Schizosaccharomyces pombe: one gene and its partner. The protein of the gene in region 2 binds, or shares a complex with, the protein of the main gene of each other region. Each region holds a gene or a part of one and is shown on either strand. Other genes may lie near its edges. The genes, in order: naa15 and naa10. A codon is read from its position in the direction of its gene.

Evidence for each region.
Region 1: the proteins of naa10 (region 2) and naa15 are in contact, whole or in part, in a crystal structure (PDB 4KVM), measured with the Schizosaccharomyces pombe proteins. Residues at the interface, in NP_594309.1 of Schizosaccharomyces pombe: Met1 (codon at 2,025), Asp2 (codon at 2,022), Ile3 (codon at 2,019), Arg4 (codon at 2,016), Pro5 (codon at 2,013), Arg7 (codon at 2,007), Ile8 (codon at 2,004), Ser9 (codon at 2,001), Thr12 (codon at 1,992), Gln15 (codon at 1,983), Asn16 (codon at 1,980), Leu19 (codon at 1,971), His20 (codon at 1,968), Asn21 (codon at 1,965), Leu22 (codon at 1,962), Pro23 (codon at 1,959), Asn25 (codon at 1,953), Tyr26 (codon at 1,950), Gln27 (codon at 1,947), Leu28 (codon at 1,944), Lys29 (codon at 1,941), Leu32 (codon at 1,846), Tyr33 (codon at 1,843), Ala35 (codon at 1,837), Ile36 (codon at 1,834), Ser37 (codon at 1,831), Pro39 (codon at 1,825), Met40 (codon at 1,822), Tyr43 (codon at 1,813), Pro48 (codon at 1,798); in NP_588160.1 of Schizosaccharomyces pombe: Gln185 (codon at 2,539), Glu189 (codon at 2,527), Leu219 (codon at 2,437), Asp220 (codon at 2,434), Arg221 (codon at 2,431), Val222 (codon at 2,428), Arg251 (codon at 2,341), Asn252 (codon at 2,338), Asp254 (codon at 2,332), Asn255 (codon at 2,329), His256 (codon at 2,326), Gln257 (codon at 2,323), Lys294 (codon at 2,212), Cys297 (codon at 2,203), Arg300 (codon at 2,194), Lys322 (codon at 2,128), Ile327 (codon at 2,113), Ser329 (codon at 2,107), Val332 (codon at 2,098), Asp333 (codon at 2,095), Ser336 (codon at 2,086), Val414 (codon at 1,852), Glu415 (codon at 1,849), Met418 (codon at 1,840), Asp444 (codon at 1,762), Asp447 (codon at 1,753), Arg448 (codon at 1,750), Phe449 (codon at 1,747), Ile450 (codon at 1,744), Phe474 (codon at 1,672).

Annotation. Positions count from the first base shown.
Region 1 is NC_003421.2:1,360,674-1,365,769, reverse strand, and holds naa15 (NatA N-acetyltransferase complex regulatory subunit Naa15), read right to left. Parts: upstream 3,153-5,096; 5' UTR 3,143-3,152; coding exon 3,089-3,142; exon of another isoform or gene 3,054-3,088; intron 3,038-3,053; coding exon 902-3,037; 3' UTR 817-901; downstream 1-816. Other genes in the region: Hsp20 family protein, read right to left, coding at 129-548.
Region 2 is NC_003424.3:3,727,928-3,731,831, reverse strand, and holds naa10 (NatA N-acetyltransferase complex catalytic subunit Naa10), read right to left. Parts: upstream 2,080-3,904; 5' UTR 2,026-2,079; coding exon 1,935-2,025; intron 1,849-1,934; coding exon 1,654-1,848; intron 1,339-1,653; coding exon 1,236-1,338; intron 1,189-1,235; coding exon 1,132-1,188; intron 929-1,131; coding exon 841-928; 3' UTR 817-840; downstream 1-816. Other genes in the region: glutaredoxin Grx2, read right to left, coding at 24-92, 140-160, 408-561; moa1 (meikin), read left to right, coding at 2,798-3,316; retromer complex subunit Vps29, read right to left, coding at 3,728-3,904. UniProt on the Schizosaccharomyces pombe protein: Catalytic component of the NatA N-terminal acetyltransferase, which catalyzes acetylation of proteins beginning with Met-Ser, Met-Gly and Met-Ala.

The DNA of each region.
Region 1 (5,096 bases), on a different chromosome or scaffold from region 2:
TTATCTGTTACATGCAGTTTATCGGATGTCATGCAAAAAAGGTGGTGAACAAACATAAAACAAGCATTAAAATGCCAGGACCAAAAAAAGACAATGCTATAGTTTAAATTAGCATTGAGTATTTGAAACTACTGAATTTCAACAATTCTTGTCGTAAACTCAGGGTTCTTTTTCTTCATAACAATGCTTAGGATACCATTGTTAAGAGAAGCGTGTATAAGTTTTTCATCGACAGGCTGAGGAAGGGTTATCGTACGTGAAAAAGCACCTACACATCTTTCACTCCAGCGAATAAGAGGGCCCGCTTTTTCTTCCTCTGGCTTTTTACGCTCACCAGAAATAGTCAACTTCGATCCATGTAAATCAACTTTAAGGTTTTGCTTATCGATTCCAGGGACTTCAACATCAACTTCAATAGTATCCTCTGTTTCTCTTAGCTCCAATGCTGGGCCCCAGCACGATAACCATGCCGATCTGTTGAATTTCGATCGGTCACCAAATTCAAAAATATCATTCATAAATCCGTTAGTAAAAGCATCAAACAACATATTAAATGTGTTTACAATGAAATAAAAATTTAACTTTGATTAAGATGAGTAATAATTAATCAAAGCGTAAGCAAATTGAAGGACAATTGCGTTTCGGATATCCTAAGTACGTGTGGGTTGGTGATGCTACATATATATGCGTAGGCAAAAACCGGGATTTGTTAAATATACCAGAATATTCTCTCTGTAACAATATAATAAAACAAGACATTTCAATGGTACAATGGGGTGCACAAAACAATGAAAATACCATCTTTATATTATTTCCATGCACTTTTATTTTCCATACTAATTTGTTAAACAAAGTGGTTTGCAGCTTCTATTATTGTACAAAAAGTAAAAAACCTTTTATTTTAGTTAGACTGAGTTTTGATAGAGTTATAAAACTTCTCTGTAGATATCACAGTTGGGTCATTCTGTCCCAAAATTACTTTAGCTTGTTCGAGGTATTTACTAGCGGTATCGAAATTTTTCAAACGAGTGTAAAGTTGAGCCGCCAAAATGTAAGCACTTGGGTTTTTATCTCCATAGGGGAGTAATTTTTCAAGACATTTTTGAGCTTCTTTCAAAGGTTCACTAGTAGCAACTAAGTTCTCCCCAAGAGGATCCTCATCATACTTTACCGGCATACCGTCCTCAGATTTTGCACGAGATTTATCGGCCTCTTTTAGCTTCTCAGCACGTTCCAATCGTTTACTAAGGTCCTTCTTCAGCTTCTTGTATATCTTCTTTTCCTCTTCTTCATTTATTTCTCCACTAGAAAGCTTCTCAAAATCGGGTAATTTAGGGCTATATTTAGCAAATGGTAAATCAAATAAGGCAAAATAGATTTCAATAGACCCTTGGGCAGCCTCTCTAAACGAAGGATCGTCATAAACACTGTCTTCCCAAGACATTAAGTCCAGGTATGTACGAAGAGATCCCTTGCGAAATGCGAAGAAGTGGAAATCAAATTGATCATCAGCCCAAGTATCAAATATTTTAAAAACAGTACTAAAACGTTTCAAAGCCAAAGCAAATTTTTTTTGTCTAGCAAATGATTTCCCATCTTCAAGCATGTACCACAGGCATTGCATATCTGCAAGATCGCCAACAGCACCACCAACAGCCTCATTGCGTGTAAACAACGATACCGTTTTGGCGGCAAGTTCATTTTCATCATTACGGAGCATATATTTAGCACACTTGCCGTTAATAAATCTATCTTGCAGATCAAGTTTACGAGCATGATCCATAATCTCCATGGCAGTTTGAAGCTCTCCCTTATGTTTGGAAATCCTAGCTTTCGTCATGAACAGCTCCACAAGCGTTGGGGTATGATCAATTGCCAAATCAACATATTTCTCAGCTTTTTCCAACTCACCAACATGATCAAAATGCTGAGCTAAAAAGTAATATGTCCATAAAAGCGTGGTGGGAATTTCAATCTGTGAATTATCGTCATCTTCAGAAAATTTGTTGGTCGTAGAAAGAGAGGAAGCGTATTTACTAACCAAATCCTCAACAACTTTGCATTTTTTGGTATCTTTGTACAAAGATTTGACATCGACGAACACAGATGGGATTCCACGCTTAAGCTTTTTGCGCAAGTAAAGATCTACATGAGTTAAAAACTCATCCCCTTCAAGCTTTTCTAAAGGTAGTCTCGTAGGGCACTCAGATTTGGGATACCTTTTAGCAAGTTGAGAATATAAATTCAACCACTCAGCACTATCCAATACTTTACCACTGGCATCCTCATACCCATACGCTCTTTGAAGATTATAATAATATTGGTGATTGTCTGGATTTCGATCAAGCAGAAGATATATGGTTGATTTGGCTTCTTCCATTTTGGAAAGATAAAGCTCGTACTCTGCCCGAGTCTCCAAAAACGCAACCCGATCCAATACCTTCTTTTCTATTGACAGTAAATGCTTATAGGCATCCTCAACACCATCTTTTTTTAATATAACAAGGTTCATGAATAACATGGCTTCGGATTCTTCTTGGGTATCAACGGGCACACCTTGATTTATAGTGGATTCAAATGCATCCACTATTTTATATGCACTAGCGTATTCCCCTCGAAGAAATTGAGCTACTGCTAAAGCGCTCCAATTGGCACGTACTCCTGGATTGTCCTGCAGCAAAGCATTCCTAGTGTCTGCTAGAGCCTTGTATTGACGAAGTTGAGATTGGAGTAACGCCAAGTCACGCAAAAGACTCGAGTTGTTTTTCTCAAGCTTATGAGCATTAATGTAACATTTAGCGGCCTGTACATAATCTTTATCGGCTCTGCTAATTAGTCCGAAAATGTGCCAACAAACACCGGATCCAACATCGTTGCGAAGACCAAGTCGTACGTTGTCGTATCCTTCTTTGGTATTACCTAAAGAGTGTAATAAAATTCCCTTAATTGCTAAGGATTCTCCATGCTCTGGATGCCTTTCTAACAGGGGTTCGATAGCCTTTAATCCTTTTTTGTACTGTTTTGTTTCATAGCATTTCTACAGGGTTAGAGAAATTTTCAATTTGTTAATTGTAGAAGATTAACATACTAATGCTGTTCTAAAAAGGGTAATCTCCTTCGGGCTCAGTTGAACTTTGGCCATGGGTAAGTGTAGAGGACAGGTTGGGAAGAGTACGAACCCTTGGAATGAATTTCGTTAATGTGTTCCACATTGCAAGGTTGCTTTCTTCTTCATTACTCTTTGTCTTGTGCTTATAAAAAGACGTTGATTCATAAATTATCTCGTATCGTTGAATGTTAGACCTGGAAGAAATGGTTTTGTAGAAAAAGACAGCAAACATTGCGTTCATACTTCGCTGAGTACTACATATTCAAAAAATCGTTTATGGAAACTTATCGAATAGCCATGCAATGGACGATGGATGGTAAACATGAAAAGATGGCACATCGAGAACAATTTTTGCATGTCCTTCTTATATGAAAATACGAAAATTCAAAGAGTAAACAAACTATTTTTAAGTATTTTGGCCAGTATCGATGAACCAAATGACTACATCAATTTTCATTATTGGTTCAATTGCTAGTTGTTTGCAATTACTGGGGACACGGTATTACATATCTGTAAGGCAAAGTTTATCGGGAATCTTTTGAATAGAAAACCAGTATACTCCAGTATATTTATAAACTAATTATTATTTGGCAATACCACTTAATTATTTAAAACGGTTCGTAGCTTCACTCCTCAACTAGAAACGTCCCAACATCCAAGGTTGAAACAAAAGGTACATTACAAACTAGAGAAGTTAAAACAATCAGTGGATTGAAAATCTCTTAAATTTACTAATTCCTGATACTATGGGATACGACTTCACATTTCTACAGACTTCCTCATCTAGCAATACACTAGTTCTGTTAAACAAAATTGGATAATTGTGCCTTTAAAAATATTACAGAAAAAAAGTATAATGGCAATTTTTTCTTATCTGTAGGATTTGTTTAGCAGCTACACGAGATTTACCTACCTTGCGGAGTTCTCAGTAGAAGAAGAACTCGTTGCTTTTCAAGTATTTGGCAAACAGAGATGCATTGCACAAAAATTTGAAATATCCTTTCGAATGCGAAGGATACATTATTTTTTTTAATCAAAAAAATTGCAATTAACAAGTTAATTGCAACACACGAAAAGTATCAAATACGCTATAAGAAAAGTTTCTTTAATTTAACGATATGTATTCTACTAAGCAGGTACCGTAATTAGCCTTCAAATCCTCAAGTGAAGAAAGATTTTTATATTAACTAGAACGCTGGATGAATCTCATTATCTAAGAAAAAACAATGGATGAGAAATTATGGTAAATTAAGCATTGAAGAGACTTAAAGAGTCGAATACTGATTTTTAGATTTGCGAAGTGCAAGATCCCGCGCAAGAAAAAGTTTCACATTTTCTACTATAATTTATATTTCTAAAAAGAAAAAATTTATAAAAACTTCTTTATCTTTCAGACAATAGTATTTTATATAAACAATGAATATCACTCTCTTTTAATGGAATCTTACAAAAATATCTACTTATTAATATGTTACTTCAAATCTGCAGCAATCAACGTTGCCCCTATGGCTTAGTGGTACAGCATCGCACTTGTAATGCGAAGATCCTTGGTTCGATTCCGAGTGGGGGCAATTTGTATTCTTGTTATTGCTTACTTTTATTAGGAGGAGCATCGTACAGCTGTTATTTTATCCCAGCCATACTACACTGTATTGCATTGTATTACGTTTTTGCATATCACTTTTATGTGCGGTGTTTAATTCATTCTGTTAGCTTTGCATAATAAAGCTACCAAAACAGATACTTATTACTAGTTAAACGATACTGTAAAATAACATTTACAATTATAGCATTCCCAAGGCTATAAGTGGGATGTACTAAACCACGTCCCTCATGAATGAGCTATTTCAGTAATATAGGTACAACATAATTCGCATATTAGAATACCTCTGTATTCGAAAACAATAAGGAAGCTAAAACAACCAAAATTACATTCCTTTTACTGTCATCCGTAAACAAAAGAATAATAAAAAATTGTACCATCTGG
Region 2 (3,904 bases):
GGAAAACAAATTTGGGTTCATACCTCCAATGAATTGGTTGCGAAAGAATATGCTGGGTACTGTAGACTGTTTGGTCTTTTCATGTAAATAAGCTGCTCAGGTAAGCATATGATAAAATCAGTTTGTTAACTAAACACACCTTGGATGTCAGATCCATTTTCTAGTGTAACATCAAGTTAGTTAAAAAGGATGAAAAGCAGAACAAAAAACTTGAAATGTTTCGCTATTTCTCAAGATCATGGAAGGAAACAAAAATTTTCGTAGTTTCATTACACAATTATGAGGTTTCGAAAACCCAATTAGACTATTATTTCATATACTTAATTTATGTAGACATAACTCAAGAAACTTTACAATCGATCAACTGAATCTTCAGCTCTTAAACAAATGAAGAATACCATACTTACCTATTTTATCTAACTCATAAGCCTTATACGGAGCAGAGTACTTTGTAAGAGTATTTTTGGCTGCTTTGCAGAAAGGACAGAACGATTTACTAAAGACAGTAACCGGATTGTTTGAGATCGCCTTTTCAACAAAAGCTTTTGCTATAGAAGTCATTTCAGCTTAAATAGGTATTCGTCTAAAAATGCAGTGGATATTGGTGACAAGTAATACAGTATGACTATCGAGGTGTTGGGCTACCTAACACCAAACGACACGATTAGGCAGTTAGATGTGATAAACAAAAACTCGAAATTACAAGAGTTATTTCGAAATATATTTAGTACACCAGTAAGCGAGTACAATCAAATGTTAAATACGCTATCACGAAGTTATAACTGCAGTATCGTACACTACACCCTAATTCACTAATTAGAAATAACGGTATATATTTTATTAGTTGTTCAATGCAAGAGATTGAACGGTTTTTGCTAGTTCGTCGTTGGTTTCTGGTGTATCGAATTTCAAAGTAGAAAAATCTTTGCTAAAAATTGTTAGTAACCTAGATAGTTGTGATGACGTTGAACAGTCATATATTGTCTGAAACAACGTAGGTAATTATACAGAAGTTGACCAAACTAAAGAAAGAACGATTGTCACAAAGATTGTATATAGTTTTTGGAAAGAATACTCATTAAACGATCCATGCAACCATCCCCAACCTAGTTTTTACAACAAAGTACTTACTGCATAGCATAAGCATCTTCACCATCAGCATAATATTTGCTTTCAATCCCTTGAACGCTAAAATAATGTTAGAATCTCTTCAATGATGGCGAGTAAAAACATACTCAAATTGCAAAGTATCACGATAAAGATGAATAGCAGCTCTGTTGCTTTTACGAACATGAAGACTCATATATTTGGCGCCATAAACTTCGACCATGGCTCTTTCTGTTCATTTAAGTAGTTAGTATCTTTTACTTTTTTTAAAAAAATTTTGTTTAAGGAATGGACCGAAAATATCAAGGAATCAGCAGGAAGGAAACATTGTCGAAAACAAATTAGGTAAAAAAAATGAATTGTTGCAAGGAAAAAACCAACTCACCAAATGAACAATTCAAAGTATTAGCAGACCAAGTCTTGCACAAAATAAAATATATACATATTGGAATAATCATCGATAACAACTGCAAAAAAGCTTAAGATTTCCCTCTAGCTCCTCCTTGGATATATCCGTAATCTACTTCGCTCTCAATTAACACTTACGACTTTGAACCATGAGACGTTTAGCAAGTCCTAGATGACGATAGGAGCGCATTACTGAGACACTTGTGATATGACCATGAGGGATCCCATCCTTAGGCTCTTCTTCCATTTTTGCAAGAACATATCCTACGACACGTCCTTTCGGATCAGTAGCAACATAAGAAAGCATAGGCCAAGAAATAGCATGATAAAGGTCTACATTAAATTAGAAAATAAGAATCATTGTTTTAATACTGGAAGTTCATTGCCGTGCAGCAAGAATTACAATGAATTGAACTTACAATATTTTAACTGATAATTTTCAGGCAAGTTATGTAAGTTGCAGTTCTGCATCCCAGTAAGGTCACTTATACGAGCTGGCCGAATATCCATCTTGCCAATCGTTTAATTTTTAGCAATATCTATGATTTTTGTTTGTTAGTGGTTGGAATCAAATTTCCAGCATACCATATTTTAAGAAAGCGCAGTGAATGTAAAACGAAATTCAGGGAATGCAAAGCAACTACTGCAAAGCTTTTAGAAATGATAAGATTCATTTGATGTTAATATTATCTGTCAAGTATTTTAACGTCAAATATTTACTGCTTTGCTAAAAAAACTATGTTTTTTGGAGACTCACAATGTTCGACGTTAAGCTCCTTTTAAGTTACAAGCCGTTTAGTACACATTGCATAACCAAATTTCTAATTACTTAATGTTGCGTTTCCTAAGTTGTTTTGATTTTCAATGCAGATGATGAGAAATCCTTATTATAAATAGACAATGATGTTTACGATGGATTGCACACTTAAAGACATTAAATCAAAACTTTATATTAATTAGCCATTAATTATATAATCTAAGTTAATACTTATAATCACCATAACATATTTTGTTTACTGTGGAATCAAAAAGGATTAGCGATGCTTGATTGAATCCTTTATTATCTTAAAGTCACACTACCTTGGTTTTCCTTTAAAAGTTTTAACAGCAGCCTTGTGGTTTCACTTAGGCTAAGTAAACTCAACGAAAAAACATTAAGATTTGTTATTCGTAAATTCAGCTAGTAGACCTCGAACATTAGGTTTTCCCATTGGTAAAAATGTAAACAAAACCGCATTAATCATATAAAACATTAAGCGAAAAAAAACAATAGATTGCATTTATGGCTATAAATAATGAAAACGAATTAGAGTATAAATTAATAAAAAAAAACAAGAATCCTAAAATATCAAATTCAAAAAAAAAGAATTCGACACGTCCAGCTTTACAAGACAAAACTAATCAAACATTACCAATTCATCAAAATCAAGCCTTTTCAAACATTCTTCCATCTGATTTTTCAATAATTAAGACACCTGAGACAAAAACTGCTGACGATTTCCCCGTAAATGGTTACGAAGGCTTAAACATTTTAAAATTTGATCTCGAGTTATTTTACAAACTTAAACCTGTAGCAACGTCGACCCCGAAGTCTTGCATGAGGACGGGCTCCAATTTATTTTTAAATGAAACTGTTAAACATGTTCCAGATGAACGGTTAGTTTCAAACATCAAGAATACCCAAACAAAGGACTCTATCACAAGAGATTCTGCGTATTATCACAGAAAAACTATGACAGAAAGCATAATCAAAACACTCGCTGCATTTGATGCTGAGGTTGATGAGATTATATTGTTTTAAATCTCTAACTGACACTGGAATATAATCGTACTTTTCAAGTACTAACGCATCTATTTTTCATATGATATATTTATTAAAAAAGATTTACAAACCTGCTTTACAAATCAACCTTGACTACGATTTTATTTATACATATCGATCAGGACAAACGATAGCATGTTCAACAATATTTGACGCGAAAGGCCGACAAAGAAAAGTGGATAAAGTCAGCGCATAAATTTAACCTTCAAACATTTCTTTCATTTTAAAAAAGCAAGTAAGGAAAGCACATACTTTTCGGTAGTCTACATACTCGGTAAATTAAGATACGGATTATGCTATAATAAACAGAAAAACATCTAATTATCATTTAACACTTCTTTACGATGAAAAGACCGCATATTCCGTGGTTCAATCGTATATTTCATGAGATTATTCTGGTTTTCTGTACTGCATTTTTTCAACCCGGACCTCTCCATCAAAAATCCTATAAACATAAAGTATTAAAACTGCTCCTTGAACATCCATTAAAACAAAGCTTGGAACGATTTTTTCATCATCTTCTACAGCAGAAACATTAGGTGCACCTGTAGCTGATCCAGGGTTAAC